Notamacropus eugenii: one gene and its partners. The protein of the gene in region 4 purifies or fractionates together with the protein of the main gene of each other region. This does not show direct contact. Links are inferred from orthologs where the notes say so. Each region holds a gene or a part of one and is shown on either strand. Other genes may lie near its edges.

The links.
Region 1: the proteins of CD81 (region 4) and IGSF8 purify together in Homo sapiens (co-immunoprecipitation; 3 studies listed by BioGRID and IntAct, with this or other methods). This does not show direct contact. The link is inferred for Notamacropus eugenii from reciprocal best matches to the Homo sapiens genes CD81 and IGSF8.
Region 2: the proteins of CD81 (region 4) and ITGB1 purify together in Homo sapiens (affinity purification with western blotting; 4 studies listed by BioGRID and IntAct, with this or other methods). This does not show direct contact. The link is inferred for Notamacropus eugenii from reciprocal best matches to the Homo sapiens genes CD81 and ITGB1.
Region 3: the proteins of CD81 (region 4) and PTGFRN purify together in Homo sapiens (co-immunoprecipitation; 7 studies listed by BioGRID and IntAct, with this or other methods). This does not show direct contact. The link is inferred for Notamacropus eugenii from reciprocal best matches to the Homo sapiens genes CD81 and PTGFRN.

The regions. Positions count from the first base shown.
Region 1 is NC_092873.1:385,034,993-385,042,326, reverse strand, and holds the start of IGSF8 (immunoglobulin superfamily member 8), read left to right. Parts: upstream 1-4,325; 5' UTR 4,326-4,471; coding exon 4,472-4,523; intron 4,524-7,334. UniProt on the Homo sapiens protein: Member of the immunoglobulin superfamily (IgSF) that links tetraspanin-enriched microdomains to the actin cytoskeleton and plays several important roles in innate and adaptive immunity.
Region 2 is NC_092874.1:72,861,028-72,868,728, forward strand, and holds the start of ITGB1 (integrin beta-1), read right to left. Parts: upstream 3,006-7,701; 5' UTR 2,798-3,005; intron 1-2,797.
Region 3 is NC_092873.1:296,754,657-296,762,111, reverse strand, and holds the start of PTGFRN (prostaglandin F2 receptor negative regulator), read right to left. Parts: upstream 3,011-7,455; 5' UTR 2,603-3,010; coding exon 2,554-2,602; intron 1-2,553. UniProt on the Homo sapiens protein: Inhibits the binding of prostaglandin F2-alpha (PGF2-alpha) to its specific FP receptor, by decreasing the receptor number rather than the affinity constant. Functional coupling with the prostaglandin F2-alpha receptor seems to occur.
Region 4 is NC_092873.1:25,498,924-25,506,861, forward strand, and holds the start of CD81 (CD81 antigen), read right to left. Parts: upstream 3,008-7,938; 5' UTR 2,878-3,007; coding exon 2,812-2,877; intron 1-2,811. UniProt on the Homo sapiens protein: Structural component of specialized membrane microdomains known as tetraspanin-enriched microdomains (TERMs), which act as platforms for receptor clustering and signaling.

The DNA of each region.
Region 1 (7,334 bases), about 360 Mb from region 4:
GCCTGTGACTGTGTGCATATATTTGTCAGTGTATCTTCATTTGTTTTTGTATATCCTGGTGTATGTCTGTTATATCCTTGGGTATATCATCAGTGGGTGGGTGAGTGACACGTGACTCTGCCTCTGGGTACATGTGATGCTAAGATACCTCAGCCCCTGTGCAAAGAGTGTGCCCACAGCAAGCAGCAGATGGGGAGTGGGCGGCAAGTTGGTGATGAGCAGCGAACACAGAAACCAAAAGGGCTTCTGTAACTTCTGCATGCACTGCTGTGCCCAATACCCACTCCACCCCACCCCACACATCTGTGTCTGCATCTCAGTGACAGGCTCTGTGGCTAACCCATGCCATAGTCACCTAGAGTCTGGGTTGGCACTCGTCTAAGACTGCCTTCTGCTCATCCACCTCTGCAGGGTGTGGTCTTACCTCACTAAGGAGCACTAGTCCTGGGGCTGGGTGCTGGATGCTAGATGCTTGGGGCTATTCCCAGACCCTGTCTTATAGAATCATGGGGTTATTGCTGGAAAGGACGTTAGAGATCATCCAGTCAAGCTCCCCTCCCCCCCCCTTTTTTTAAACAGGAGACACCCATGACTAGGGAGATTATAACTTGCCCAAAGGTATGCAAAGGTAGCCTGGTCAGGATTCAAACTTGTGACTTTTGATCCCAAATACAAGTCTTTTTCTACTACCCCTCCTTGCTTTCCAAGGTGTCTCTGGGTTTCTAATATTTCTATGAAGTTGTTAAGTGTGACATTACAGTGTGCATACTGTGTGTTCCATCTGTATGTGTAATGGATTTCCTGACACAGGGTGTGTATCTCTGTGTGTAAGAGACATATGGTCACGGTGTGTAAGCTCACATGTTCCCTCCTTGTCTCCCCTGCCTCCCAGTCCTGTTTTTCTTAAGTTATATAAGTGTCTGATGGGCTGTGCCAGGACTGAACTATGGGCGCCCCCTGCTGATAGCCTTTAGAACTCACAAACTGGGGATAGAGGGGAGTGTATGCACCTTTCTTTGAGGGACCCAAAACAGACTCTCTGTTCAGTCCCTAGCTCCTCCCCACTCCCAGCCCATGCCTCTGCCCCTAAGCCATGAGTCTCAGGGTTGAATATTTGGCTTTTTGAAGAGAAGAGAAGGAGTCAGGGGAGAAATGAGGATAAGTCCTCCCTCCACTAAAAGGGGTGGGGGGGAGGCAGATCACAACCTATTCCTGGTTTGTTTTTTTTTTTTTTTGCTATTCTCGTTCATGTCTTTCCATTAATCCTACATAGAGGGGTCCACTCAACATAACAGAGACCTTCCATGGTGGGGGGGCAGCGGGGTGAACTAGACTGATGATTCTACTGGCATAGAGAACTCTGTTGTTGGAACTGCCATTACCCATGCAGATTGCTTTGCAAAACAGCACAAGAATTCTTAACTTGAAGGGGTGGGGGGGGAAGCATGTTCTGCAAACTTGCTTTAAAAAATAGTCTGATGAGAGTATTTTTTTAACATTCATTTAAAAAAATTTTTGAATACCAAATTCTCTCCTTCCCTCTAGCCCCTGCCTCATCCATTGAGAAGGCATATGATACCCATTATACATGTGAAGTCATGCAGAACGTATTTCTATATTAGCCATGCTACAGGGACAACAAAGCAAGAAAAATAAAGTGAAAAACAATAAGCTTTAATCTGTACTCAGATTCTCTCTCTGGAAGTATATAGCATTTTTCACCATGAGTCCTTTGGAATTGTCTTGGATCACTGTACTGATCAGGGCAGCTAAGCCATAGTTATCACTGTTACTGATGACTGTATTTCAGTATAATTGGTTTCCTCTGACTTTTATTTTACGTGTTTAAAAACCTCATTCACGGTGTCTGGCACATAATACATACTTGTTGGCTTGACTTGAGAAGGGGCTCATAGGCTTCATCAGACTACCATTAAAAAGATCTTAAAAAGTTGTCTGGGACCACTGAGAGGTTGTGACTTGCTCAGAATCACAAAGCCTACATGCGTCAGAGGTAGGCCATAAAGCCAGGTCTTACTAATATAGGACTGGTTCTCCATCCATCACATGATGCTGTCTCTGGTTCTTTTTTAGTATTATTTCAAGTCAGTGCAGAGCTTGATCATTTGATCTGTCATCTCTCATTCTCGCTAAATGGTAAGCCTACCTTTTTTTGTGGTCCTAATTCAATTCAATTAAACAGGTGTGTCTGAAGGGCCTACTATAATAAGCTAGGCATTGTGCTAGGTGCAGGAGGTACAAAGATAAAAAAGAAATAATCCCTATTCTTAAGAAGCTAACATTCTACTGGGGGGAGGGGAAATAGCATGTACATAGATAAGTAAATACGAACTATTTTTCCCCCAGAGGATAAGAGGGCTCTAACAACTGAGAAGATCAGAAAGAAAAAAAACCAAACAAACATTTGGGTAAGAGTTGAGTCTGGAAGAGAGCTAGATATTCCAAGAGGTGGAAGTAAGATGGAAACGCATACCAGTCGTGGGGTACAGACAGCCTAGGCAAAGGCATGGAGGTGGAAAAGGGAATGCTGTGTACGGAAACCTCAAGTAGGCCAGGTTGTTTGAAATATCCTGTAAAAGAGAGTCCCTGGTACCGTTTATCATGCTACTTTCTCATTAAAAAGTCATTATTGGTAATGTGTTATAGCCTACACACTTTTACAGACGATGTCCCTTTCCACTGACCTTTGAAGTCACCATTTTGGCTTTTCTAAGATGGTGTTTCATGAGTCACCATCACTAACTCAATTTAATTCAACATTCGATATACTATTTATTATTGAGAATATTGAATTAAAAAAAAAGATGGGTCTTTACAGCAGAACGCAGCTTTGAATCCTTAAAAGTGCTGCATTCATTTCTCAAATTGTATGCCAGAATGTTAGTAAAAATGAGAACTCTGCTCTTTCTGCCCCTCAACCCTGACTGGGTCCTGGAGGTGCTCGCAGGAGAAAAGGACTGGAGGGGATAGATAAGGAAGTTTTCTTTCCCTGCTCTGAGTTCTCAAGCTCCTTCTCAAAGGCCCTCTGTTCTCAACCACTCATACCTTTCTCAAAGAGACACAGAGATGAAATTCTCCCTTTACTTGGCTTCCTCCTTGTTCCTACGACCAGCCTCCTCTTACAGACAGAGTCCTGCCTTTTTTTGTCTGCAAGATTCCTGCAGCTCCAGAACCTTAGAGCAGGAGTGGACTGCCTATGTGCTAACGATAAGCTAATGATAAGGGGCCAGGCTATTATCTGTGAGGAGAAACAAGGAACCAATGAATTTATTGATCTTTTACCAGGTGCCAAGTACAAAAACAAAAACAGTTCCTATCCTAGAGGAGATTACACTCTAAAGAAGGTGACGAAATGTACACACCAGTATATTCAGAATGCATGCAAAAGGAATACAAGGTAGTTTGGGGAGAAGAAGCCTAATGGCTGGGGACAGGATTGGGGGATCAGACCAGAAAAGGTTTCATGCAGAAGGGGGCACTTGAGACTAGTCTTGAAGGAAACCAGGGATTCCACAATACTGAATCTGGAGTCAGAAGACATCAGTTTGAATTCTATCTCTGCTCCTGATGAAGTAGGTGCCCTTGAACAAATCACTGCCCAGCTCTGAGCCTCAGTTTCCTTGTCAGCAAAATGAGGGGTTGAATTAGAGGATGTCTACCTCAGATCCCTCTTTTCAACCTCTAAATCTTGTGGTTCTGTGAATCACAAGTGCCAGACAGGAAGGAACCGAGGTAGATCCTCTCACCCAGCCCAGGCCTGCAGGCAGCACCCTTCTCGCCCCACCCCGGGTCTGGTCTCAGCTCTTCCACGTAGACGAAATTCCTCCTGTTGCATAAGTTTCCTCTCTCTTTTTCTAGCAGCAATGGAGACCAAAAGCAGCGAGCTTTCATTCTTCCACGAAGCTCTGAGTGTGCTCTCACCCTTCTTTCTGAGCCTACCCATTCACTTGTCCCAGCCCTCCCCCCAGGTACTCCCAGCCAGCTGGGAAGGCCCCAAGGCCCAGAAGGAAGCAGCCCCCCCCAAACCCTCGCTGACGTCACTTGCTCCTGGCTTCTTTCTCCCCCTCAAGGGGTACGCCCCTCTCCTGAAGTTGGGGGGCCAGCGAGGCCCTTGGGGCAAGCTGGAGGGGACTGGGGAGAGAGGCAGCGCCAGGGGACGAGGCACTGGGAATCAGAACGGGAGACAAGTGCCAACCATTGGCCCCCGGAGAAGGGGAGGGGAAGAGGCTGGGCAGAGGCGGGGCCTGGGCGGAGTCCTGCCCAGCGGAGGGGCCAGCCTGGCCCAGAAGCGCCAGGGGAGGGAGGGGGAAGGCGGGCGGGGAGGAGGCAGAGGAAGCAGGGGACGCGGCCGCCCGGGCTTGGTGCGCCTCTCTCGTCCAGCCGGGCATGCGCCCCCCGAGCCCTTGGCCCCCCAGAGCCCGAGCGCCCCCCGGATTCTGCGGCGCGCAGCATGGGAGCCCCCGGGCGCACTCCGTGGCTGCCGCCGCTGCTGCTACTGCTTGGTAAGGAAGCGGAGCCGCGGATCGCCCCGTGCCTTTCCTGCCCTCCGTCCCGCCCGCCCGGCTCGCCCCCTCCCGCCTGAGCCTTGCCCCTTCCCCTGCGCCTGTTTGGCGCAGCAACCTTGGCGGGGACCAGGGCATCCTCTGCCCCGCCGGGGCGCCGGGGCTGGGAGTTTCGTTTCAGCCCCGCACTGACCGCCCCCGGGGCTCCGCCACCCCCGGCCCGCAGGACTGTGCCCAGCTGGCGTCTGTGGCCTCCGGCTGAGCCGATTAGGAAGAGGGGCAGGGGGAGGGAAAGGGGCTTCCCAGCTCCAGGCTCCTCCTCTCCAGCTGTTTGGGGGAGGACGGGGCGAGGAGCTGCTGAAGGGGCTAGCTACCCCACTGAACTCGAACGCCATGGCCAATCTCTGGGGTGCCATACCACCCCGGGTGCGTTTCTCTGTACCAGCATAGCTAGACCCTAGGAGTACTGCAGCTTTCTGTGCCTGGCCTAGGCGTGGGCAGTGCCCGCCCTCGTAATTGCCTCAGAGCTGGTAGGAGGCCAAGGGGCTGACTCTGCCCAAAATCTTTGAAGTCTCCCCTAATTGCCCCCTTGACTTCACTAGAAGATTGTTTCCTCAGGGGCAGTGACCCCTCTTGACCCTACCCCCCCCCCCCCCCGTTTTTGGTCAACTCTGGGTTCCTTCTCTGTTCCTTTACTGTGTCCTAGCTTTCCAGATCCCTCTCAGCTTGGTGCTCCTTTCCAGCCCATTCTGCCCTCCTCCTCCTCTAACCCAAGGCTTCTACTTTCTCCGAATTTTCATCAGGCTCTTAACCCCTTTTCTAGCCAGCTGTCTCATCTCCCTTCCCTCCTCCCCCAGTGTCCACACTATTATAGGTTTCTTACCCATATTTCCCTTCCTGGACCATTTGTCCCCTCCATTAGCTGTTGCAGTTAAGTGGCTAGGCTATAGGCAGTTATGGGGACTTTCTTTTATCACAAAGCCTTGCTCTAATCTACCCCATCCTCCAGTCTTACCAAGTGTGGGGCTCAGAATATATTGGCAAAGACAGATGTGGGAAGTCAGTCTCTGATAACATCAGCTGATCTCTTTGGAGTCTTTAATCCTAAAATCTCTAAGCACCATTTGCCCCTGGCATTGCTGTGTGTAGGGGAACTACCCAGTGCAGACAGGAAATTTAGGCCTTGTGCCTTCCTATGCCCAAAAAAGGTGTCGTGGGAACATGTGCAATTTATGATGTCAGTCAATAACTAGTTAAGGTTTGTTTGACCTGCGCATGAGGGCTTCCTGGAGAAGATAGGGAGTTGGGGGAAGTAAGACAGTGGAAGGATTGAATTGTATTCTAAACGTAGAAAACTGATGCCCCATTTCATTCTCCAGTATTTATTTTAATATTTGAGTCTGAATTGGTAGAGTGTCAGTAATAATTGTCCTAGTCACCTATTTTTAGGCCAGAGATTTGCTAATGCTTCATGATGTCCCCAAACTCCCCAGCTCACTGAGTGGACTCCTGGGTCATGATGGTTGGAAGAAGATGTCTTTTTTCTCCCCACCTGTCCCTGGGGCTGGGCAGCTGGAGAAGTAGGGACCCACGGGAAATGGTTGCTTAGCACATAGCCTGCTTTTCTCGATAGGCAGTATGATGTTCAGGCAGGAATCCTAAGGGTTTTTTGGGGGAAGGGGGAGGATGGGTGTAGGAGGAAGGAGGAAGTAGGTTGGGATAAACCTTGTAGTGGTCAATTCCAAAGATGAGGGTTGCTTTCCCATGGGGATCATGGAGCATCAACTTGCAGGTGTAGGAGTCTGGGAGTGGGGAGAACCGCTCTTATAAACCGAAGGCCAGACCTGATACAGTTGGGTAACTTGGTAGTGGTTTGGTCTCTTTATTGTCTCCCTGGTTATGAAACCTTCTAGAGGCTGGGCCCTTCTGACTCACAGACTCATAAAATTCTAGAACCAAAAGGAACTTGAGAAATAATCTCACATAAATTTTATATTCTACAGATGAGGAAATTGAGTCCTAGAGTGGTGGGATGACTTGCCCATATATATGGACCATTAATGTTAAGTTGAAATGGAATGGAAACAGTGGTATAAAAGTGGAAAGAGAATTATGCTTTACTAGCCTTGGGCAAATTACTTAAATTCTCTAAGCCTACAAAATAAGAATGATAATACTTATACAAACTCCTCCCAGTGGGCAGTTGTAAGTATGCAATGAGAAAACGCATGTAGACTGATTAAATTGTAAAGGCCTAGATGATATTATTGCACACTATCAATTGGTCAAAAAGCATCTATTCACCATTTACTATGTGCCTGGCACTGATGCATTGTACCCTGAGTCCCACATCTAATCCTCCCCCTATTCTTTTGACCCTTAGGTGATCAAGTCAGGAAGAAGCAGCCGTGAATTTTAGAGAATGTTAGAGATGGTTAGGGGAAATTGAGAATCAAAGATTCCCAGTTCTCCTCATTACTTCTTGGTCCCTGTTAGAAAGTGGTGAATAGGAAGTGGCCTCAGAATTCCAGGCTGAAGGGTTCTGGAACACTAGATGATTGAGGCTGTAAGAACCCACGTTTTTCTGGTGGGAGGAGGAGTCAGGCCATGACAGTTCGACCTGAGATTTCATCTGGCGCTAGTGTTTCCCTCCAACCCTAATCCCCAGGGACACTCCCATGGGAACCTGGGAAGGTAAAGATAACTAGAGAAATATTGGAGAGTGAGGCAGCCCTGGAACTGAAGGCACCGTGGGAGAAATAAGGAGAGGGAACAGACCTCCAGCAAAGCTCAACAAGGAATGTCTTGGGG
Region 2 (7,701 bases), on a different chromosome or scaffold from region 4:
GCATTGGTAATTTTTAAGGACCAAGATTAACTATAAGGGAAGGGAATGAAGAAATCTACCTGATTATTAAAATGATTATTCATAGTTGTTAATTCTCATGTTATTTCTAATGTACTAAACTTTTTAAGGGAAAATATGGCAAGGGAAATCCAAAGGGTCTATTCTGAAAAAAAACAACTCTTGTTTTCATCTTTGTAAAGTACTAATATTTCTATAGAAACAAGCCTGGTGATTGTTTTTTATAAGTCAAACAAATGTATTCTACATTTCTAAGTGAAATTAAAATTATTTTTTGCTTTTCTATCTACCACTTTACTTTCCAACAGAACCAAACATTTCTATATGTTTAAATCTTACAAAAATCAGCTTAATTAGGATCCTAAAAAATGTCCTAAGAGCACAGTAAAAAATGTTTTTATAACAATCATACTTGTCAACTTGACACTTTAAACACACACTTAAGTGTTCTTTTAAAATTATTTAAGTGGCCAAAATTTTGAAGACTTAAGAAGCTGAGCTAGGAACCAGGAGACCTATCTCTTCCATAAACTAGCTATGTGACTTTGGGCAACTCATTTAACTTCTCTGGCTCTCAACTTCTTCCTTTTATAAAATAAGCCTGGATTGCCTGATCTTTAAGATACCTTCCAGTTTTGTGTTCTTACATTTTGTGCACATCCTATCTCATTTTACCCTTCATTTCCCAGTAGATGACAAACTTCTTAAAGCTGAGGACTGCCTTGAGCATTCCCAGTGCCTACAAGTGTCAGGGTTAATACTTCCTGTTTCTGTGGAATATAATTAAATATTGCAGAGACCAGGTCACACTGAAAATCCCTTAGAAATATATCACTTTGTCTTGGAACACAAAAGACACTAACAATCCCAGTAATTCCCTCCCACTCAAAAATCAGTTTGCAAAATGAAGCATTACATTTTATACAGTATCTACATTTTACTCAGGAAAACTTCACTATTTATGCTAGAATTACTTTAATATTAAAAGAAACTGATACACTAAAAGTTCCTAAGCATGATTAGGAAGTCAAAAAAAAAGGTGCCAAATTTTGTGACTTTTTAGTGTCCAATTCTGAGTGTGATACAATGACAATAAATGAATAGACTACACACTGAGAATACAATAAGCAGTTTCCAATTTTAATGAATTTATAATCTATCTGGGGGGATGAGATAAAAGTTGTATACAAATAAGATCATAGTATACCATAAAGCTAAAAGGAACTTTAGAGATCAGATAGTCCAATTTAATTTTATAGATGAAGCAATTGTGGCCCAAGTAACACAACCAGTCTGTAGCAGAGGTACGTTTCCCTACTCCCAAACAACACAGAACATATAGCCCTAGGGCTGGGCCAGCCTTGTCCTCAGGAAGACCTGCTGTTCAAGCCCAGCAATTGCAGGCAGGCCACTTAACAGGCCCACAGAACACTTCAGATGGTAAGTTCAGAGAAGCTGCTGATCTGCTTCAATAGAGGGTGTCCCCACGCTGATGAAGTTACAGCCCAGAACCAAAACAAAACTGAGCACTGTGAAAACCCTGAGTATAGCGATCTATTATTGGGACAAAGGTATGCATTTAAATATTCACTGTCTGTAGTTCAGCAAAGTTTGTGTTCTTACGCATAAAAACCTAAGGAATTTGGGGAAAATATCCAAAGTTCTCGGTTATATTCATGTTCCTTACCTACCAACTTTTTACGCTTCAGGTTTCGTCCCGTACCCATTACATCCATGCCCACACACACTTAGGGGCCATGGTAAAAAAAAAAAAAAAATTAAAAATACAGCACCGGGAATCTTAAGGGGGAATACAACGCCACCTCAACACTGGTATTTTCTAGGCTGAAGGACTTTTTAAATCATAAAAGTAAGAGACAATGGAAAATACAGAAAGAAGGTCTAGGGCTACTTCAACTCCAAAGTCAAGTTCACGTCCATACCCAGCGCGCACAAAGTCCACGGGGCGCCGGCCTCTCCTAAGCCTGGCCCCAAGTCCCAGGGGTGACCACAGAACATCTCCAGAAGTGACAGGCCGCAATGCCACCCAATGCCACCCAACCCCGGCCGGCCTGGAGAGCCAGCTGGGCACAAGTCCGTCCGTGCGTCCGTCCACTCGGGGCCACTGGCAGAGCGGCTCCAAGCCCCAGGAGGGCTCTGGTCCAAGGGGAGCAGAAGGGGAGGAAGAGGAAGAAGAAAGGGCAGGGAGGTGATGGGGCGCTCGGGGAGAAAGAGGGGCGGGTGGGAGAGGGGAAAAGACACGGGCAAGGGGGAGAAACAGAGGGAAAGAGAGATAGAGGGGAAAGAGAGAGGGAAAGAGGGATAAAGTGGGGGAGAAGTGAAGGGAAAGAGGGATAAAGAGGGGGAGAAGTGAAGGGAAAGAGGGATAAAGAGGGGGAGAAGTGAAGGCAAAGAGGGAGCTCAAGGGAGGGCTCGAGGAGAAAAGGTTGCAAGGATGGAAGGCGGAGGAAGGGCCGGCAGCAAAGTGGGGGAGGGCCGCGGCCGGAGCGGGGGAGGGGAGCGCGGGCGGAGGCCGAGTCGGAGGCGCCGAGGGCAGGACGAGCCGGACCCGGCGTACCCCCGGCTCTCCTCCCGGCCCCGAGGCAAGAATTCCTTGCCTTAAGCGGAGGCGGCCCGGCGGCCCCACCCCCACGGCGGACGCCCGCTCCCTCCCGACACAAAGAGCGGGGCCGGGCCGGGGCTGCCTCTCCCTGGGTCCGGTGCGGGCCGCCACGCGCGCCCCGAGCCCCGCCGCCCCCCGCCACGGGCTTCCGCTCACCTCGCCGCCGTCCGCGCGGGGCTCTGTGGGGCGCGCACGCTCGGGCGGCGGGCCGCGTGCTCTGGGCCCGGCCTGGCTCTGTCGCTGCCGCGGCCGCTCCGAGATACTTTCCCGGCTCTCCCGGAGGGCGGGCAGGCGGTGGCAGCGGCTCGGGCTCCGGCTCCAGCTCCTCCTCCGGGGTGGGAGGAGGGGCGAGTCACTCCCTCGGCCTCCTCCCCTTCAGGAAGGTGGCGCGGGGCCCCGCCCCCCGGCCACCGCCCTCCTTCTCCAGCTAGCCAATCCGCATTGTCCTCCCGCCTCTCTCCTGTCCCCTTTCCCGTCGCTGCCTCCTCCGCTCCCCCCTCCCCACGCGGACCCAGCCCCGCATTCCCTCCGGAAACGCATTCCTCCCGGGCCGCGTCAGCCGCTCCGCCGGCGGCTGAGGGAGAGGACGAGGAGGAGTCGACGGGGGAGGGCGGACCGAGGAAGTGGCGGGAGGGCCTGCGGGGAGCGGCCCGCGGCCTCGGGCCCCCAGCCTCAGTTTCCCTGTCTGTCAAAGTCGGCCAGGCTCCCGTCGCGAGAGGGGCTCCGGCGGGTGCCCAACGCCCGCCCTTCCCAGCCCGGGCCGGCGGCGCCCCCTCCGGCCCAGGCGGGCCCCAGGCCCAGGCCGAGCCTCCCTCGCCTCCGGGTCACCGTCTGGATTGGGAGATAGCCGGGCCGAGGGTCTGGAGCTAAAGACTGGAGAGGAAAATAAAGGCTGTGGTCTGGGCTAGACCGAGACCCCTCCGGGCCCCTCCGCAGCCAGAGTGGGGAAACTGAGGCCGGAGGCCGCCGCCGCCCCCAGCCCCCTCCCAGGCCAGCCTGGACTGAGCTGCTTTCGTGCCGTATCGCCCCTCCGCCCTCCCGTCGGAATGGACACTTCTGGGAGCAGCCACTGCTTCCCTTCTTTGCGCCACGGAAGCCCTAATAAATACTTGTTGATTGATTGGCCCCCCGGAAAGAGGAGGTTTGGATCCCTGTCACTCCGGTCCAATTTTCCCCTCCCAGGTCGAAGAAATATTTTAAAACAGGTTTATTAAAAAAAAAAAAAAAAAAAGGAGAAGAAATAGTACTCATTGTGAGAGTTTTTGCATAGGCAGGGTGCTTTTTAGATAAAAGGACTCGAAACTGAATACCCAGGTCATACAGAAACCCAGTTAGTTACTCAAAGCCTACTGCCTGGGCACCATACCATCTTGTGGCACTGAAAATTTGGCTGTTTGGAAAGTTGTGGCTTTGGGCGAAGGGCATCCTGAACTGTAGACTTGAAGCTTAAAGATCTTATTTCTGATGGAAAGAGGAGGGCAGGAATACGCTTGGCAACCCAGTTTGAACCAAACCTATAAGGAAATATAGCTGTATTTGCTTAGATGCATCAAAAGATGAAAATTTTACTTAACACTGGTAGAGTGAAATCTACTTCTTTGCCCTCATGAGGTGAGAATTACTTTTTCTACTTGAAATTAGCATTGGTAAAATGGATGTAGCTCTACACCTGGCATTAGAAAAGATATAGGTTAAAACCTTAGGTCTAATAAGTACCAATGGTGCAAATTCATTTGATCTTTCCAAGCAGCAGTTTTTTCCCCCATAAAAATGGAGAGACTTCTCTTGAGGAACAATGAGATAATGTGTTACAAAGTGGTTTGCAAGCCTTAACTTTATAAATGTCAGTTATTATTAGAAGAGAATAAATGGCATTTGAAAATATATGTCCTACTGGTAAAGCCACAGAGAACATAGATCCTTGGATTTGAAGAGGATTGTATCGTTACACAAAATTAGCAACACCTGTAACAGCAGAGGAAAACCTTATGGTTTATTCAATTATCAAACTGGAATTAAACCTTTTAGCTTGGCGTGTTAAAAAAACAAACTTGTATTCTTGCTCAGCTGACATGTGATATTCAACTACAGTGTTTGATTTAATTGGTGTTCAATTAAAAATTGGAAACTATGTACTTATGTTCAGCCTCAGGTTAGTTATTGTTGCTATTTGACAATTTGATTTAAATTTCTCTGTAACTGTTTCTTGAATGTCAGGTGACGTTTCAGAACCTAAAAGATTTTCATCTTTCAGAGTTGAGTAAAATATCACTTAATGTTGGCAAAACAATTATCTAGTGCTATACATATATATATACATATATGTAATATATGTATGTATGTATATATATTGTGTTCAACTGGATGTTACAATTGATCTATTAACAGCATGTTACTAAATATGGTGCCCCTTCAACTACTTACGTACTTTTGATTCAAGTAACCATTTTTAGTGCCTACTATGTATAACGTCGAGGACCAAAAGACAAATATGTGAAAGTCCTTGGCTTAAAGGGACTGCTGTGGAGATACAACATGTACATAAATAGTCTAGGACAAAGAAAACCATGGAGGAAAACTGTAACAACCTAAGGCAATCAGACAATCAATAATGAAGGGGGAGGTGGCGCCTTAGCTGAGCTGTGGAGGAAAGAAGACCGATTCTGAGAAGGGAAACTGAGAAATGTACAGACCAGATATGGAGAAGAACATGGTAAGAATGAATAATGTACCAGAAAGTTGGAGAATTCAAGGAACAGAAACTTCTTGAAGGGGAGTAGTATGAAGCTGTAATGTTAATTAGAGAGCTAAAGATCTTCCCCAGCGATTGATGGGCCTGCCCATTAAGGAAAGCTTGATTAGGGGAGGCCCACCCCTTTTGTTACTTTCTATTGAGGCACTGGGTTAGAAGGTGCTGTCCTCTGGCTCTGAAAAATGTATAAATACTTTGAGGAGAGGTTTTGTTTTGGGGCTTACTCATTGAAAGTGTTTGGCCAGACAAGACTCTGGGCAGCCTCTAAGGAGCCCCCCGGCTTTGAAAACCCAGATGCTGGTGCTTCTCTGTCTAGTAACTAAGTATGTATGGTCAGACAGTTGGATCTCTCTGTTGATCTGTGTTGTATGTATTGCTTACAGTCTGTCAGTTGGAAGCCCTGCCTGCTGATTATTATTTCTTTGTATTTTCTCTGAAGGTCAGAGAGCTGACTTTTCCCCCTGAACTAAGTGAATGATTCATGTGCTTGATTAAAGTGATTGTTGTCCCCTCAAAAGTTGCTTTGCTTTTAGAAAAGCAGGTCTAAGAACTTATACAGCAGATCCTCCTGTGTATGCCAGGGTCCTTGCTGTTACAGAAGCAAAGCTAGAAAAGTTGGTGGAAATCAGATTGTGGAGGGTCTTAAATGCCAAACTAAGGAATTTATATTTTCTTCTAAGGCAATGAGGAGCTACTAGAGATTTTTGAGCGGCATGGTCAGTTGTATTTTAAGATCATTTTAGCAGCTATGTTTAGGATGGATTGAAGGAAGAGACACTAGAATCCTGGAGACCAGTTAGGAGGATATTGCAGTAGTCCAGTGAAGAGGTAATGAGGTTCCAGATTAGAATAGTGAGTCTGTAGGTGGAGAGAAGGGTACCGACAGAAGAGATTTTGTGTAGCTAGAAGCAATAGGCACTTGTTAAATTCTAGGCACTCTGAATACAAAGACAAAGAAGAAACGGTCCTTGTTATCTGACAAAAAAGAGTTTCCCTTCTGTAGGGTGGGAGACTATGTAGACAGATAAGCATATACAAAGTAATTTTGGAGGGAAGAGCACCCACTAGAGCAGGGAGCAGGAAGACAGGATCAGGAAAGGCCTCAGAGGGGGGAGCGCTTCATCAGAACTTTGAAGGGAGTTCAGGTCTTTAACAGGAAGAAATATAGTACAACTTTGTATAAAGGCAAGGCTACAGGGTGCAGCTGATTTGGCAATAGACTGAATATGAAGGAGATGGAAGGATCAAAGAAGGTTATGTGGTTAGAATTTGGGTGACTGAGAGTATGTTTCCTCAACAGAAAGAAGGAAGTTTGGAGGGGTAATAGGTTTGGGAAGGAGTGAAATATATTCTACTTCGGACCTGTTGATTCTGAGATAAATACAGGACATCCAAGAGAAGATATCTAGCAGGAAGTTCAGGGGAGAGATTAAGACTGGATATTTATACTCGGTAGTTATTTGCGTCCTTGAAAACTGTTGAGATCTCTAAGAGAATTTATATTTGCTTTTCTATGCAAATATTGGTTTGTGTGAGTAGATGTCTTTATTTACTGAAACCCAGACAGGCATGTATATGTATGCTGCTGTGCTTCATACAATAATTCTGCTGCCCCGTGGTCAGTAGTTCATACCCTTTATGCATTTTTTGTCCAGAAATGGTGGATGGATTTTAACTCGGGTTCTCCAATGCATTCGCAAGATATTTGATGAGGAATGCTGAGTATGGTGTTAGAACTGTAAGATACTAATACATAATCTGATTGATGCTTACAATAGCACTGTGGAGTAGGTAGTACAAATATTATTATACCCGCTTTATAAAGGACAAACTGAAGTTATTAAAGGTTAAGTGATTTGCTCAAAGTTACATGGCTATCATGTGGCAGACAAGGCTGGAACACCAAGTCTTTTTTTTAATCATTAAATTTTATTTTCAGGAAGATCTATCTTTTCTCCCACCTTTCTCCTCACTCCTGATTAAAAAGGCAGCAAAAAACAAACAAACAAAAAAGCCCCAAACCTCCTCTTACAAACTTGTACAGTCAAGCAAAACAAATTCTCTCCTTGGCCATGTCCCCCCAAAATAGGTCTCAGTCTGTGCCGAGTCCTCTCTATCAGGAGGCAAGTAGCGTATTTCATCATGATTGCTCTGGAACTGTGATTAGTTATTGTTTTGATCAGGGTTCCTAAATTTTTCAGAGTTGTTTGTCTATACAGTATTATTGTTTTTATATAAATAGTTCTCCTGGGTTCTTCTCATTTCACTCTGAATCAATTCATGCAAGTCTTCCCAAATTTCTTTGAAA
Region 3 (7,455 bases), about 270 Mb from region 4:
GAGGGCAAGATTGAGGATAACGCCTAGTCTGGGAGCCTATGTGACTGGGATGATGATGGTACCCTCCATAGTAACAGTTTCTCAATGAGTCTTCCTGCTTCTAGTCTCCCCTCCTTTAATCCACCCTCCACAAGGCTACCTAAGGTCATTATGTCACTCCCCTACTCAAAAATCTTCCATGGCTCTCCACTGACTCTAGCTTTCAAAGCTCTTCCCAAACTGACTCCTACCTACCTTTCCAGTTTTATTTCATATTACTACCCTCACATACTATACTCCAAAGGAGTCCCTTTGGTGTTCCCTTGAAATGACATTCCATCTCCTGCCTCTTACTGTATCTTTGTTCATGTGGCTTCCATGCGCACCCCAACTTCCTTCAAAAAGTGCCTCAGGTACATGAGGCTTTTCTCAGTCACCCCAATCATTGGCAATCTTTCTTGAAATTATTTTCTTTTCCTTTGTTTCCTATGTATAATTCCTATGTATTGTATACACCCCACACCTCTATCCCCAAGGGAATACCAGTTTTCTGAGGGCAAGGATTCAACATTGCTATATTGGAAACAACGAGCACATAGTAGGCAATAAACTTTCAACTGGATCAAGGGAGTTGATTGAGGTTTCTAATGCAATAGAGGTTTGGAAGAGAGAGGTGAGATGAAAGTGAGAGGGGGCAATCTGGAGGTGTTCTACATATAGGTGGTAACTGAAACCATGTGATTGGATGAATTCCCTCAAGGAAGGCGTTAGAAGGCTCAAACAGATGTGAAAGAGGGGAAAACTGAGCTGCAGCTTCCATCTTACCCCTCTCACCCTCTCATTTTAACCTCATTTTGGCACCAGGCCTGAGCTAGTGAGAAGGGAGGGGCGGCTAAAGGAGAGACACACACTCAGCTTTGGTGGTGGGAGTTAACAACAGGCTCTGTGAGTCAGGAGGGGAATCCACAGGGAATCTCTGGCTTTTAAGCTGCCCAGAAGCCCTACAGCAAGGATGCATCTGGGGCTAGGTTGGTCCAAGTCCCATCCACAGAGAAAGTCACTGGGGATGACTGAACAGCTCTGGGTTGGCCCTGTACATGGGACCAGAGGTTTTAAAGCTGGAAAGGACCTTAAAGATCTTAAAAAGTCCAACTCCTTCATTTTACAGATAGGTAAATGAGGTCGGGAAAAGGGTACTGACTTGCCTGAGGGTTAGAAAATACAGCATTTCAACCTCGGTTTTGAGATTCCAAATCTAATACTCTTTCCCAAACTCAGCCGAGAAGGCAGATGTCCAATCATCAGTGCACAAGCCTAGTTTTCCATGATTTTTGCCTTTGTTTGTATCCCTAGCGTTTAGCAAAGTGACCTTGTACACGGGAAGCCCATAATAAATGCTCGGTGACTTACGTCCAGAAGTCCCCAAGCATCTGACAGGCTCAGACTTTGGCAGTAACCCATGCCCATGTGTCCATGCCTATGATGTATGCAAATCAGAGAAAGAAACTGCAAGAGTTTGAAGACCAGACTATGGAGATGGAAGGATTCGGGTAGAAACGATAGAGGGCAGAAGGGCATGGGGGGCGGGGAGGGGGGCCCGGGCAGGGTTGTTGGTAAATAGTTGAGAAACTAGTGGCCTCGGGCTTTTTCTCTTAGAGAGGTAGCAGCTGCTCCAGTAACAAGTAAAAGTTGAGGAAAGCCTCAGGCAGAAGATCCAGTCACCCAGCACTTGAACAAAGCAAGGAGAAAGTGCACTAAGATTGTAAAGCCGTAGCTCCGGCACACCCCGATCAGTCACCTTTAAAAGGGAAAGTTTGTACGGTGGCCCTTTCCCGAAAGAAAACCCAGGCTTTGTGCCGTGGTGCACGGTTGTTCGGGGGTTTGGGAGAGGGGGAGCTGAAGGTTACTGAGTCTGCAGCACAAGCAGATTAACGGGGGACATTTCCGTTTTGGAGTAGGGAACCGGGGCTCTTGGGCAGCCGGGCGGGCAGCCAGCCTCCTGGCCGAGGCGTTCAAGGTGAAGGAAGCCTCCTCCTGGCTCCCCCTCCTGCCAACAGGTAGAGCTGGAGCAGCCCAGGCAGGCAGCCGCCACTCCCCCCACGGTCGAGCCCTGGATCTGGGTCTGGGCACGGGAAGGCTTGGCCTTCTGGCTGGGCATCGGGTGGATTCCAAGCCTGGCTGGGCTGGGGGAAAGGGGACTACCGCAGCACGAACGGCTAGCTATTACTGCCCTCCCCGCCCCCAACCAAAAGGCTCCCTCGGATCCGGGCGGTCAAGCGCCGGACAAAACGCCGGTTAAGTGGGCGGGAGCCCCAAAGCCCGGCCAGGCTCTGCTCGGCTTCTCTAGGGCCCCCAGCCCGAGGCTGTCCCAGGAGCCGGGCAGGGGCGGGGGTCGGGGGCCCGGAGCCTTGGAGTGGCCCAGGCCGCACGCTGGGGGGGAGGGACACCCCCTCAGTCCGCCCATCCTCTCCGCTCCCCTCCCACCGTGGCGGGGCCCCCGGCTGGCAGCCCTCCCGCTCCTGGCATCACGCCCCTCTCCCCCCAATTCGGCCCGGGCCCCCAGCCCGGACTCACCAAGGGTCAGGAGCGCCAGCAGCAGCGGCCTCTCCCCCGAGTGGCCCATGCTGGCCGGCCGCGCGGGAGGAACTCCCCTTCCCTTTCTCCTCCGCCTCGCCTCGCCTCGCCTCGGCTCTGCCTCCTGCTCCCGCAGCTCCAGAGTCAGCGCTCCTGCACCCGGGGGAAGGGGGCGGCGCGCCCGCCCCGCGCCGACTCCACTCCTGCGCCTGCTCGCGCCGAAGGCTGCCCGGACCGAGCCTCTTCGATTCGCGCGCAAGAGCAGCCGTGTAACCTTCCCTCTCCCTCTCCCTCTTTCACCTCTTCCTCCCTTCCTTCCTTCCTTTTCTTTGGCAGCAGGCGGGGAGCCGGGCGCTAGGGCTGGCCGCGGCTACAGTGTGCAGCCCCGACCGCTTCCCGAAAGCAAAACGAAAGAACCGCAGCGCCTGCCAGCCAGCCCGCCCGCGCCTCCCATCCGGCGCTTTGCCAGCAACAAACACAAACTTTCCCAAGCCCCTCCCCACTTCAGGTAACGGGGAGGAAGCGCGGCACTCTGGGGATCTCTGGGTGCTGCCCGCTTAAAGGGGAGGAGAACTTCCAGACCCCCACCCTCGCGCCCCCGTGCCAAACCTCCTCCGACCTTTAAAAGTTGGGAAATGCCCAAGATTTTTCTAGGAACAAATAACTCCCCAGGAATCTCCCCCAAATCAAAGCGCAACTCTTTCCCTTCTTGCGAAATTCCGCATCTGTTCCCCAAAAGTCACCCCCACACACACACACAGAAAATCCACAACTTAACTTTCCACAAATCCACTCCGTTCGCTAAATCCGGGCCACGCCTGATGGGAGCTTCCAGCAGGACTCCATTCCAGAGTCCTCCACTTTCCCTCTTTTCTCTGGAAAGATAAAGTAAGGACACTGCTCTGACGGGCAGCTCCCTTCCCAACCTCTAATGAAAATACAGAAACGTTAATATCACTACAGTGCCTTATGTTTGATCCTCTCTGAGTCTTACATTGATGACTGAAGGTGTCTATACAGCTTACACACGAGGATGCAACAAAGTAACCAAGAGTATTGTTTTTCTTTCCAGTAATGATACTGTAGTTTTGTATAGTACTTTTATAATCATTATGTCATTGAACCTTCTGGGTTGGCTAGGGTAGGTTTTCTTCTACATTTTCTGATTCTATCGAACAAGTTTTTATTCATTAAGCACCTGCTAAGAGCAAAACCCAGTACTAGGCCATGGAAATACAAAGACAGAAATAATAAATAGTCCCTGCCTCCAGGAACATTCCATTCTACAGAATGACCTCTGATGGTAGAACATTAAATCTTAGGAAGGTCTGGAAAGGTTTCCATTAGATTACTTATTTTACAGATAAGGAAATTGAGGCCCAGAGAAATTCAACAATTTGTCTAAGGTAACATAATAGGTTAGTGTCAAGAAAAGAGGGACAGTGCACTGGAACATATCTTTTTGACTTCTAGGTCAGCGTTTTTTTCCATGAATGCTATAAAAGCCCAGTACTTGGGAAGGGGTGGGGTATTAGTCTTCATTGTCTGAATAATTCATAAATGAGTCAAACATATGGAATCAAGGAAATTGCCTGAGCCCACTCAACCCAGTGTCTCATTAATACAGTAGGGAAAAAAATCACAGTATTCCTTCTTTCTGAAATTACCTTTAATTGATCTTGTGGATGTGTCATGTATGTCTCACTTGTATGGAGTTGTTAGCATGGTTTTGCCCTGATTCAAATGAATTCCTTGTGGACTGGGGCTGTTTTTGCCTTTTTTTCTTTTATATCCCAGCTCTCCGAAGGGTGCCTAACATGTAAATACTTGTTGACTGACTGACTAAGAAAAAGTCAAAGAAAGGTTGTGATGAGCCAAGTCTAGCATCATCCCTAAGTTCTTGTTTATGGCACAGTTATAAGCATGGCAGGTTTAATACAAGTTCATTACTGCTGCTGAAAAAGATAATTCAAAACTCATTCAAATCGTCCTCCTCCACCCCCTTTAAGGACCACCTCAAATCCCACCTCCTCAGCTAAGCCTTCTGGGTAATTTCAGGTAACCTTTTTCTCCCTTCTTTGATCACTTATGCCCTTTTCATTTTGTCCCTTGATTAATTCAGTTTAGCGTTTTATTATACATACATTTTCTTGCACCAGTCATCAAATCTAAATGATGTTCTGGAGTATTTCTCCTCCCCTTCTGGAAACTCTTCTTGACTAATTTCTGTGATTCCCCTCCGCTACTCCAATCAGATTTTAAGTTTCTTTTGGGTGGAGATTTTTGTATAAAGGAAAAAGCAAGTTACTTGAGGGTAAGAAATATCTTGTTTCTGTTATTAAATGTTTGCTGAATAAAATTTTGTTCATGGCATAAACTTGTTTTGGATCTGCAACAATGTAGTCATAATTCTGGACACATAGTAGGTATTCAATTTCAGCCATCATTCACTAAGTACCAACTATGTGAGGAACACATCACTAGCTAGAGTTGACAATTTTTAGATAAGACACCTTGCAGTCTGGCAGAGGAATAAGACACACACAAGTTCTATAATAATTCATGATTAGGTTAGCAGAGAGGTAAAAGAAAACAAAACTATCTAGGATTCGAGGAGGGAAGATCAAGAAACACTGTGCAGGACAATGGATAATGTGTTGAACTTGGAGGTAAGAGGACCTGTATTCAAAACCTGCCTCAGACAATTGTTAGCAAGGTGACCCTGAGCAAATCATTGATCCCTGTAAGCTTCGGTTTCTTCATCTGTAAAAGGAAGGGGTTGGTTAGTGGTTCTTCACCTGGGGTTTGTGAAATTAAAAAAATATATATTTATTTCTGATAACTGTGTTTCAATATGGGCAGCTAGGAGACACAGTGAATAGTGCTGAGCCTGCAGTCAGGAAGCCTCATCTTGATGAGTTCAAATCTGGTCAAAGACATGCACTAGCTGTGTGACCCTGGGCAAGTCCCTTTACCCTTTTGGTCTCAGTTTACTCATCTGTAAAAAAAATGAACTGGAGAAGGAAATGGCAAATCATTCTAGTATCTTTGCCAAGAAAACCCCAAATGGAGTCACAAAGAGCCAGGTACAACTGAACAAGTGCCAATATAAATTGATAGTAAGCCTATGTATTTTATTTTGTGCACTTATGAAACATCTGAGAAGGGGCTTATAGTTTCCTTCAGTCTGCCAAAAATGTTCATCTCTCTCCCTCCCTCCCTCCCTCTCTCTCTCTCTGTCTGTCTGTCTCACACACACACATACACACACACACACACACACACACACACACACACACATTAAGAACCCTGTATTATCTGATGTCTGAGATTCCTTCCAAATCTAAATCTACCATCATATGAAATATTTACTGGCTTGAATAGAACTGAAAGTCCTACTTATTGTAGGTCTGTAGAATGATCCTTGCATATCAAAGGCAGCCTGGTTTTTATAACTTCATATAAACCGGAAAGAAGTGCCTCTAGTTAGCCACATCTGCCACACCTTTTGCTGGACCCTAACCACTGCAGTATAAAATATATCACTGATTGAAGAGAGCTATGGCCAATGTTCCCAGCAGGAAAGAGCAACTTGCTAATTCATGAATTGGGTATTTGTTTATTCCTTCTTTGTGCAGGATAATCAATCTTTTACTAGCTTAAGTAAGACCCTATTCAGTAGTCTTTTTTATTGCATCTCATTGATTCAAAGGCCTGCCCAGGGCAGGAAGACTACTTTAGCAATCCCAACTGACAGAATTGTTCCCTCCCCCCCAACCACCACCTCCCAAAAAAGATTCTTCCTGCTCAGTACTGTAATGGAAGGCCTCTCCCTGCCAGCTGTTGTTACTCATCATAGAGGCATTTGAAGGGATACTCAGAAACGCCTCTCTTTTAGGATTGACTGTACCCAGATTATAGGTATCAATATAGGAAAGTGTTATCCCTGAAAATCTTGTGAAATAAAATCACGTGGAAATTCAAATGTTTTGTTTGCTGAAGTTTAAGGATGCCTTCAATGAAAGCAAAGCTTACTTAATAGTTAAAAAATAAAAAACTCCATTCTTCAGTCATTGCCTCTCTTTTCTGAATTTTTAATCATTCCTTTTCCATTGAATTCTTCCAGTCTTCCTACAAATATCATCCTCAGGTCTATGCAATCCTACATTTTCAAAAGTCTTTTCTCAGTCCTTCTACTCCATCAAGGTACTAACTCAGCTCTCTCCTTTCACTGATTGCCTTGAAAAAGTAGCCATCATGGAAGCATGATTCATCATTGGCCATAGTGAATCATGCTTCCTAACTCCTGACAGAGAGGTGATAGACTAGAGATGTAGAAGGGGTCATACTTTTACTTTGGGGTGGAAAGAAGGGAGAATTACTGGGGACTAGAGGAAGTAATCATGGTGCCACAAAAAGAAAAAAAGAGTATCAATGAAAAGTTTAAAAAATATTGAGGTGAGAACAAAAGAAAGCTCGGAAAAAGACAGATAAGCAGAACCACTTGGAACTGCTGTGTTAAATATATTATATATCTTTTAAAAAAACCTGAACTGCATGTATTAGAGATTTACAGTTTCTGTATACAATCCTCTTTTGTTATTCTTTGTATATGAAAGTGATTGTTTGTGGAGGGTTGTCAAATTCACAATAATAAAAAAGAGAAAAAGTGTTTTCAAAGTATTCTATGACCAGGTTCTTTCTTTTCCTCACCATTTATTCAGTCATAGAATTAGATATTAGTTAGGTGGTATAGTGGTTATATCCCTGGATTTGGAGTTAAGAAGACTTGTGTTCAAAACTGGTCTCATGTACTTACTAGGGGTGTGACCCTGGACAAGTTACTCTATCCCTATCTTCTTTTAGTTTCCTTATCTGTAAAATAGGAATAATGATAGCACC
Region 4 (7,938 bases):
TGCGCTTGTTTATCAGTTAACCACCTGCCCCTTCCTGAGGTTGGCCCTAACAGCCTATCGCTGTGGCAGGTGACCCCTCCGAAGCCCAGGGAGCCCCAGTCTGATCATGAAGACCCTGCATCCTGACCACAAACCTCATCCTGAGGCTCACCACTCACTTCCCCCCTCCTCTTCCAGCCAACCTCAGAGCTCCACCAACGCACTGGGGGCGGGGGGAACAGAAGACAAACCTGGGTCACAGCACCCTCTTCTGCACTCCAGGGCTCCCTAGGTCAGAAAGTCCCAACAACTGGGTACACACACATTTCCCAACCTCAAGGCTGTTCTCTGTCACCTTCTGTCTGTTGTACCTCAGAGGTTGGGGGTGAGAAAGGGTTGAGAACATTCAAAGGGTCCCCACCCTCTCTGTGCCATCCTCTTGGGTCCAGGAAGTGCCAATCCTTCCCCAAACTGGACCCTCCAGGGCCAGCTCTAGGAGGGAAGCAAAGTAGGGTTCACCCCCTACTTGGCAGTGAGAAACTGAGCCTCAAGAGGGAGAAGTGACATGGGATCATAGACTGAGAGGTGGAAGGGAATTAAGATTATCTGGTCCATCTTACAGATGGGGAAACTGAGACCGGGGAGGGGTCACACAGGGAGAAGTGGCAAAGTTCACATTTGTTCTCAGGGCCTATGCCTGGTCACAATCAGTTAGCACCAGCATCAGGTCTAGACTCTGGCTCTCCTGACATGAGCCACCATGGGCCAGCCTGGCTCCTGCCTTTCTGGGTGCCCATCTACCAAATAAGGGCTCTGCTATTTGCCCTTCCCAGGCCAGCAGCAGGTGAGCTGTCCAAAGGACAGCCACTCCTATTGAGCATGGTGTCCAGCAGCAGGGCTAGAGACCAGGTGCCTGGGGGCCAGAGGGCTCCCTCTGGGGAATTCCAGGCACACAAGTCCCATCTCCATCCCAGACCCCCAAACCTGCACCGGCTAGCTGCCCTGCTCAGCTCAGACAACGTACCCCACCCAAGCTGCCACTTGGAAACCACTTACCTTCCATGAAAGGGGAAAGGGGGCATCAGGCTGAGAGCCCTCCACCTGAGGGGGCTGCCTGCCAAGGAAGGGACCCCCTGGGCAAGAGCCCAGAGTCCCCCGGGGATATCTGAGGAGAGCAAGGGAACAGGCCTGCACAAGGGAGACCCGCACACACCAGCTTGCTCATCCCTCCCTCCAAAATTAAGCAAGAATCTGAGCACAGGAAACTGAAACAAAACCCCCTCCCCCACCTCTGGAACAGGGGTCAACAGAAAGTAAAACCTAACGCCAGGAAAACAGAAAACAAAACACAAAACCTAAGGCTGGGAGAGAGAAAGCTCGAGCCCCCAGCCCAGGCGGCAACTGAAGACACAGAGCCCCGAGGGAGGCAGAGAGCCCAAGGGAAAACAGGGGAAGGGGGAGGGGCACCAAGGCCTTAATCTCATTTTATTGCCCTTACTGACAAAATCGAAGGACTACAGGTGGTAATCTTTAGCAGGCAGGACCTGGGCTCTGCACACCTTGGGGAGCTCTAGAATGGGGAGCCAGCACCACCGGTGGTCCTAGTCCAGGCTCCTCCCAGGGCCCTTCACCCTTGGAGAAAGACCCAAAGATTACACATAACACACAAGCTCACTAAAGCTAGGATTCTGGCAGGCGGGGCAGGGCCACAGGAGGGAAGGGGCCCACGTGCCCAGGAAGGGCAGACCAACTTGTTTGCTTACCCTTAGAACAGAGCTGGAACCCAAAGGGGTCTGAAAGGTTGCCCTGTCCCCTAGTCACCTGCCTTGGGTGTCACCACTCAGAAACTTGGCCTACCTTAGAGGAAATGTACGTTTTTGGGGGGGGGGGGTGAAAGACGCCCCTTTCCCTCTTCCCTCGTGGCTTCAGCAAACATTCCCTAGGAGCCTGTTCTGGCCAGCTTCCCCAGCCCTCTGCATGAGAAAGCGAATCTCGAGCCTTCTGGGTGAGCTCCCACAGCAGCCAACCCAGGGGAAGGTGCCCATGCCAGGGCTGGCAGGGTCTGGGTCCCCCTCATGCAGGACTTGTCCACTCCCCTCCGTGGGAGGGTGAGCAAGCCTGGCTCCAGCCCCTCCGAGTGGGGCCTAGGCCCGAGCCGAGGTTGTCATGGAATCTCCCGAGTGGGGCTCCACTGGGATCGAGAGCCACTCCCCCCCGGCCTGCCAGGCCGTTATCCGAGGGGAGTCCGGTCCAGGCCCCAAGCGAGGTGGCCCCCACTCACAGGCCCACGCCGAGGGCTCCCCCAGCGCCCCGCCCCGCGTCACAGGGGGCTGAGCCGGAGAGAGGCTGTGCCCACACCCCAGAGCGCCTGCGGGGAGAGCTGCCCAGCAACAGCTGCGGGCTCCGACCGCCCCCACTGAGGCCTGGACGGACCGACTGAGGGACCGAGGGACCGAGGGACCGAGGGACAGGCGCTCGCAGGTGGTTGGACAACTTCCCCTCGCTCCCAGTCCTTGGGGACGCCCCTCCCTGGGGCCGATCGCCCTGGCAAAACATCCGCGCCCTCGGAAGCGCCTCCATTGTCTGTGCCCCCCAAGTCCCCACGTTCGTGCCCACGCACACCGCGTACACACACCGGACAGACAGACAGACAGGCACGCACACACACCACGCACGCACACACACACACACACACACACACACCAGACAGACACACACACACCACACCAACACACACACCATGCATACACACACGCATCGCGGCGGCCGCAGGCCAGGACCCCCCCACGCCCAGGCCCGCCCCCGCCCCCCGATCGCCGGCCCCCCACTCACCCAGAAGACGAAGTTGAAGACGAACAGCAGGTATTTGATGCACTTGGTGCAGCCTTCCACCCCCATGGCGGCGGCGGCGGGGGCTGGGCCGGGGCTGTGCGCTCAGGGGGCGCTGGGCCCAGGGGCTCGGGGGGGCTCCGGGGGGTCGGGGGGGCTCTGGGAGGAGCTCCGGGGGCTCGGGGGGGGGCTCCGGGGGGGCTCCGGGGGGAGCTCCGGGGGCTCGGGGGGCTCTGGGAGGAGCTCGGGGGGCTCGGGGGGCTCTGGGAGGAGCTCGGGGGGCTCCGGCTGGCTGCTCGGCCTCGCGCAGCGCCCGCACCTCCGCAGACGCCGCCGCCGCGCTCGCTGAGCTCACCGCTCTGGCTCGGCTCTGCTCCGCGCTCAGTGGCCACCCTCCTCCTCCGCCCCCGCCCCGCCCTCCGGGACAGGCCCCGCCCCGCCCCCCGCTCTCGGGCGCCCCTCCCCCTCGCCCCTGGGCCGGGCATCCCGCCTGCGGGGGCAGGGCGGGGGAGGGGGGCACAGCCTGGCATCCGTGCCGGGCCCGGGACCACCCGGTCGGTTCCCCAGCTGAGCCCTGGGCCCGGCGATGGAGGCCGGAGGAGAAGGAGCCGGGCTCGGCGCTGTCCAACCAGGCCCAGGGCCGCCTAAAGCCGGCGGCTTCACCGATCGCTGAAGCCCCGGGCCCTCCGGGGTGGGTGGGGGCGCTCCCCGGGTCCGGGCTCCTCGCGCTCTCCCGGGTCCCGAGCCCTCATCTTGGGGGGCTCCGAGCGAAAAGCCCGGTGGGTCCACTGGCCTGTGGCCTCCCTCCCTGTCTCCCTCCGTCTGTCTGTCTGTCTGTCTCTCTGCCTGTCTGTCTCTCTGCCTGTCTGTCTCTCTCACCACCAGCTCCCAGGAGTGTCGAGGCCCTGGGTTAGAGTTCTGCCCATGCTCCCCAGGACTTCTCTCTTTGAGCTTCAATTCGCTCATCTGGAAAATGGCGGGGGCGGGGGCGCTAATTCTCTTCCCCAAAGTGTTCCGCAAACCGGAAAGGGCCAGAGAGATGCAGCCATTTCTATTCCGGTCCTAACTAAATCCCTGAGCCAGGGCGCTGAAGCAGGGGAGGCTGCTAGACAATGGAGATAGGAGGCAAAACTCATTGCATTGGGAAGTGGGAGGGGCTGCTGGGATGGAATTGGAAATGTCCTGGGCTGGGGGCTCTGGAAAGGGAGGAAAGCTCAGTCTTTGACCTGGCGCTCCCGTTAGATCCCACGGATGTAGCCATCAGCTCTGTGCTGTTGTTTCCCAGATCCGTTTATCCAGCCCTCACCTCTCTCCTAAGGTCCCAGCTTGCATCTCCAGCTGCCACTTACACATCTCAGAATGATATCCCACAGATACCTTAAACTTGACCCACTCAGACACACTCCCAGGGCCTGCGCAGCAGTGCATCCACTGAGGAGGACCCTAGGCTCTGCAGGGCCCTGAGGTGGCAGAGCCCTACACCTCTATGAGAGCGCAGCAAATGGCAGGGGCATGCCAATCCCTACCCCACAATGACCATGACACACAAATTCAGCTTGGAACAGAGCCGGTGACTCAGAAAGCAAATCTTGACAAATACACACAAACGCAGATGTACAAAGATGGCCAACCAAGAGAGAAGCAACTTCAAGTAGTGAGAACCCCCCTCAGGGTGGATTGTACCAAAATATTGACCCTCAGGGACCAGTAGAGAGCTATAAGGAAGCAACTACATGAAGACAAGACTGAGAGACAGAGAGAGAAGGCCTTGTGCTCCCCAAGAGCTGTGAGGGTATCCTTTGACACACTTCCCCTACACTGGTGCCTTCTTACCTTTGGGCTCAATGCTCTCCCATCACTGGGTGTGCTGGTTAAGAATGTTTCTGATTGGGACAATTTTTGTATCAACCCTTTGTACCGTCCCTCCTCATTAAACACCATTACTCTAAGCCAACTGAGCTACTGGTTGATAATTATTTGGAAGCACACTAGTAGGGACCCATGAATGACAATACTAAAAATCCTAGCCCCTCAGGGTTGCCCCAAGAAGTCCAAATCTTGGCCCAAGCAGGGCATAATCAAAGGAAAGATAAGCCCTTCTGCTCTGGTTGGACCAGATAAAAGACAGAGCTGCTCACCTTGGGTTTTGCTTCAGCTCCCACCCCAGCCCCCAAAGAGCCTGACCTTCGCCTGTAAATAAAGGAATGATAAAAGCTAGTAGACGGTTGATCCCTAAGCTAAGGAGAGCACCGAGGGACACACACATGTGCCCAGGTCCCAAAAGAATGGGCCAGTGATTGAGGAGCCACAGTCTGAATGGATGTTTGAGTGGTCAGAGAGAACAGGAGCAGAGTTGCCCAAGGGTGTGTGCCCCCATAGTCATAACAGAGAAGTCTGCAACCTGGGGGCCTGTGAACAGGACTGCTTTCTGGCAAAATTCTAGGGCCCATTAAACAAGCATCTGGAAAAGGAGGAGGTGGGAGCACTGGTAGTGCCAGAGGTGCCATCACTCAGAAACTGTGCTGGGAAGAGGGCGACAAGACCCCAGATCAAGGGGCACACTGCAAGCAGCTGGTGGCCAGAGCTTTGTCCAGCATCTGATAAAGGGGTTCAGCTTCTTCTTAGGGGAAAGATGAGGAGACAAGGACGAGCCCTCACACAGACAGGAAGATGAATCGGCCTCCAGCCCCAAACAATGTCCAACAACGCTGCCATGCCAACCATCCAGCAAACACTTATGAAGAGCTTTGTGTGGATCAAGCACTTTGCTAAGTGATGGAGAGCCAAAGAAATGAGTAAAGACTTCCATCTCTCAAGCAGGTCAGTCTGTTGTTGACTGTCCTTGGTTCTCAAAGAGGACCTTGACGTCAGGGAGGTGATGCCAAGACACACAAGTGAATTGGATAGAAGTAAGGGAGGGCTGTGCAGTCACAAGCCTCACTTTCTCCACCAGAGCCATCTGAATCCACTGGTGAGATGTAGATCAGGACAACTGGAGATGGCTGGGATGCAATGGGGACTTTGGCTAGACCTAAGCTAAGGTCTTGGACAGGTCTCAGTTTGACTGGGGCAACATCCATTCAATGATTAAGGCTGGGTAAGAAATGAGGCAGAGAATATCCTCTTTACTTAATTAAAAAAAAAATCAATCTAGGGAGGGAAGACCATCAGGGTTTCAGACCAAAACAGAAACAATTGCTATCTACAGTCACTCTGAGTCAATCAAGGCCTTGACCTGGAATCTCCTGTTGGCCAGTCAATGAGAACCAAAGTGATTTGGGTTTGAGGAGTGATGTTTAAGGGGAAAAAAAGCTTTCAGGGATGAAATATTACATTCCTTTGGGCAGAGTACCCACAGATAAGAATATAATACCCTATGTGGATAGAGAGGAAAGAAAGAGAGAGAGAAAGAGAGAGAGAGAGGGGAAGGAAGGAAGGAAGGAAGGAAGGAAGGAAGGAAGGAAGGAAGGAAGGAAGGAAGGAAGGAAGGAAGGAGAGGAGAGGAGAGGAGAGGAGGGAGGGAGAGAGGGACTGAGGGAGGAAGAAGAAGAAATAAAGCTGTGTTGCCCAACTGGCCAGTTCCAGTTGGGTCCCCAATGGGGACCCTATTCTCCACTCACAGAAGTTGTTTGTCCTTCCAGGATATGCACCTAAATTGGATCGAAGTGAGGCAGGGCTGTGCAAAATCGCTGGCCTCATTTTCTCCTCCGGAGCCCCCTGCGTCCAGTAGTGAGATGCAGATCAGAACGACCAGAGATAGCCCAGGATGCCTTTTGAAGCTGAGGTCTTTCCCAAGTCTCAGTTTGACTGAGGCAGTGCCCATTCACTGGTTAAGGCAAGGTAAGAAATAAAGCAAAGAATGACCTCTTTACCTAGTCAACAACAAAAATTCAGTCTGAGAAGGAAGACCCTCAAAGTTTCTAGCCAAAGCAGAGCTGGAGTCAGAGGATGCATGATTGCTGTCTTTGCAAGTCCAAAGGGCCGACTGTTGCAAAGAGGATTTGTCCTTGACCGGCTGGCTCCAGGTTACAGCTGAGGGCCATCTCCAGCCATTCAGTCTTACGGGGGAGACAAGACATGAGGAACCAGATGTGTGTGTTCTGCAGATGGGGTTGCTACTAGAAATTTTAAACTGGGTGTTCTCTAGTCATCCCCTTACAGTAATAACATTAACAGGAAAAGGAGAGTACAGGTTTTCAAAAGAATTCAAAATATCCCATTGCTTCTAATTCCTGTCCTTCTGTCCGTCTGTCCCTGTCTGTCTGTTTCTGTCTTTTTCTCTTGGAAAGGTTTCCTGAACAAGGTGGGATTTGATCTGAGTTTTGAAGGAAGCTAGGGAAGGTAGGGGTGGAGATGGGGCATGGGAAACAGTGAAGAAGAGGCCGAGAGATGGGAGATAATGTGACATGGCAGCCAGAAGCTGAATAAAGAGAGAGATCTCTTCCAGGAATATGGAGGCCCCATCCTCTGTCCTGCTAAGACCCATCTGCGTGTTCTGGTCAGTTCTGGGCTTACAAGGCCATTCATTGCTAAGTGGAGAGTGTCCCAATGAAGGATGAGGAAGGAGGATCAGTTGAAGGAGAAGATTTGAGGGACGTGGGGCTATCTTCAAAACTAAGCAGACTGTCCAGTTTGTCTCTGGAGGATAAGACTGAGCCCAGTGGGGGAGAAGCTTCCCAACAATGAGATATAACTGTCCCATCATGGAAAAGACTTCTCAGGGGTGAGGTGGAGGGGGGAGGGCACCAACACTGGTCAGTATCAAAGTCTGCTGGTCAGGATGGGGATTCCTCTCTACTACAGTGTGGGCTGGCCTGGAAGCCGAAGGGTCCTTGCCTGCTCTGATTCTGTGCCTCTGTGGGCCCTTGGGCTCTCTAGTTGGGCCCCACAGCTTTCCTATCTGCATTAAATGGATCAGACAAGAGCCCACATTGATTTTATCATCAAGCAGCTCTGCTCATCCTTCTGCTGAACCCCACTGACCAAGGAGCTGGTGGGACAGTGGATGGGGTGCCAAGCCTGGAGTCAGGAAGACCTAAATTTGAATCCAAACCCAGACATTTCCTAGCTGTAAGAGGGGAAGATGAGGGGATGCTTAACTGCTGCCTGCCTCAGTTTCCTCAACTGTAA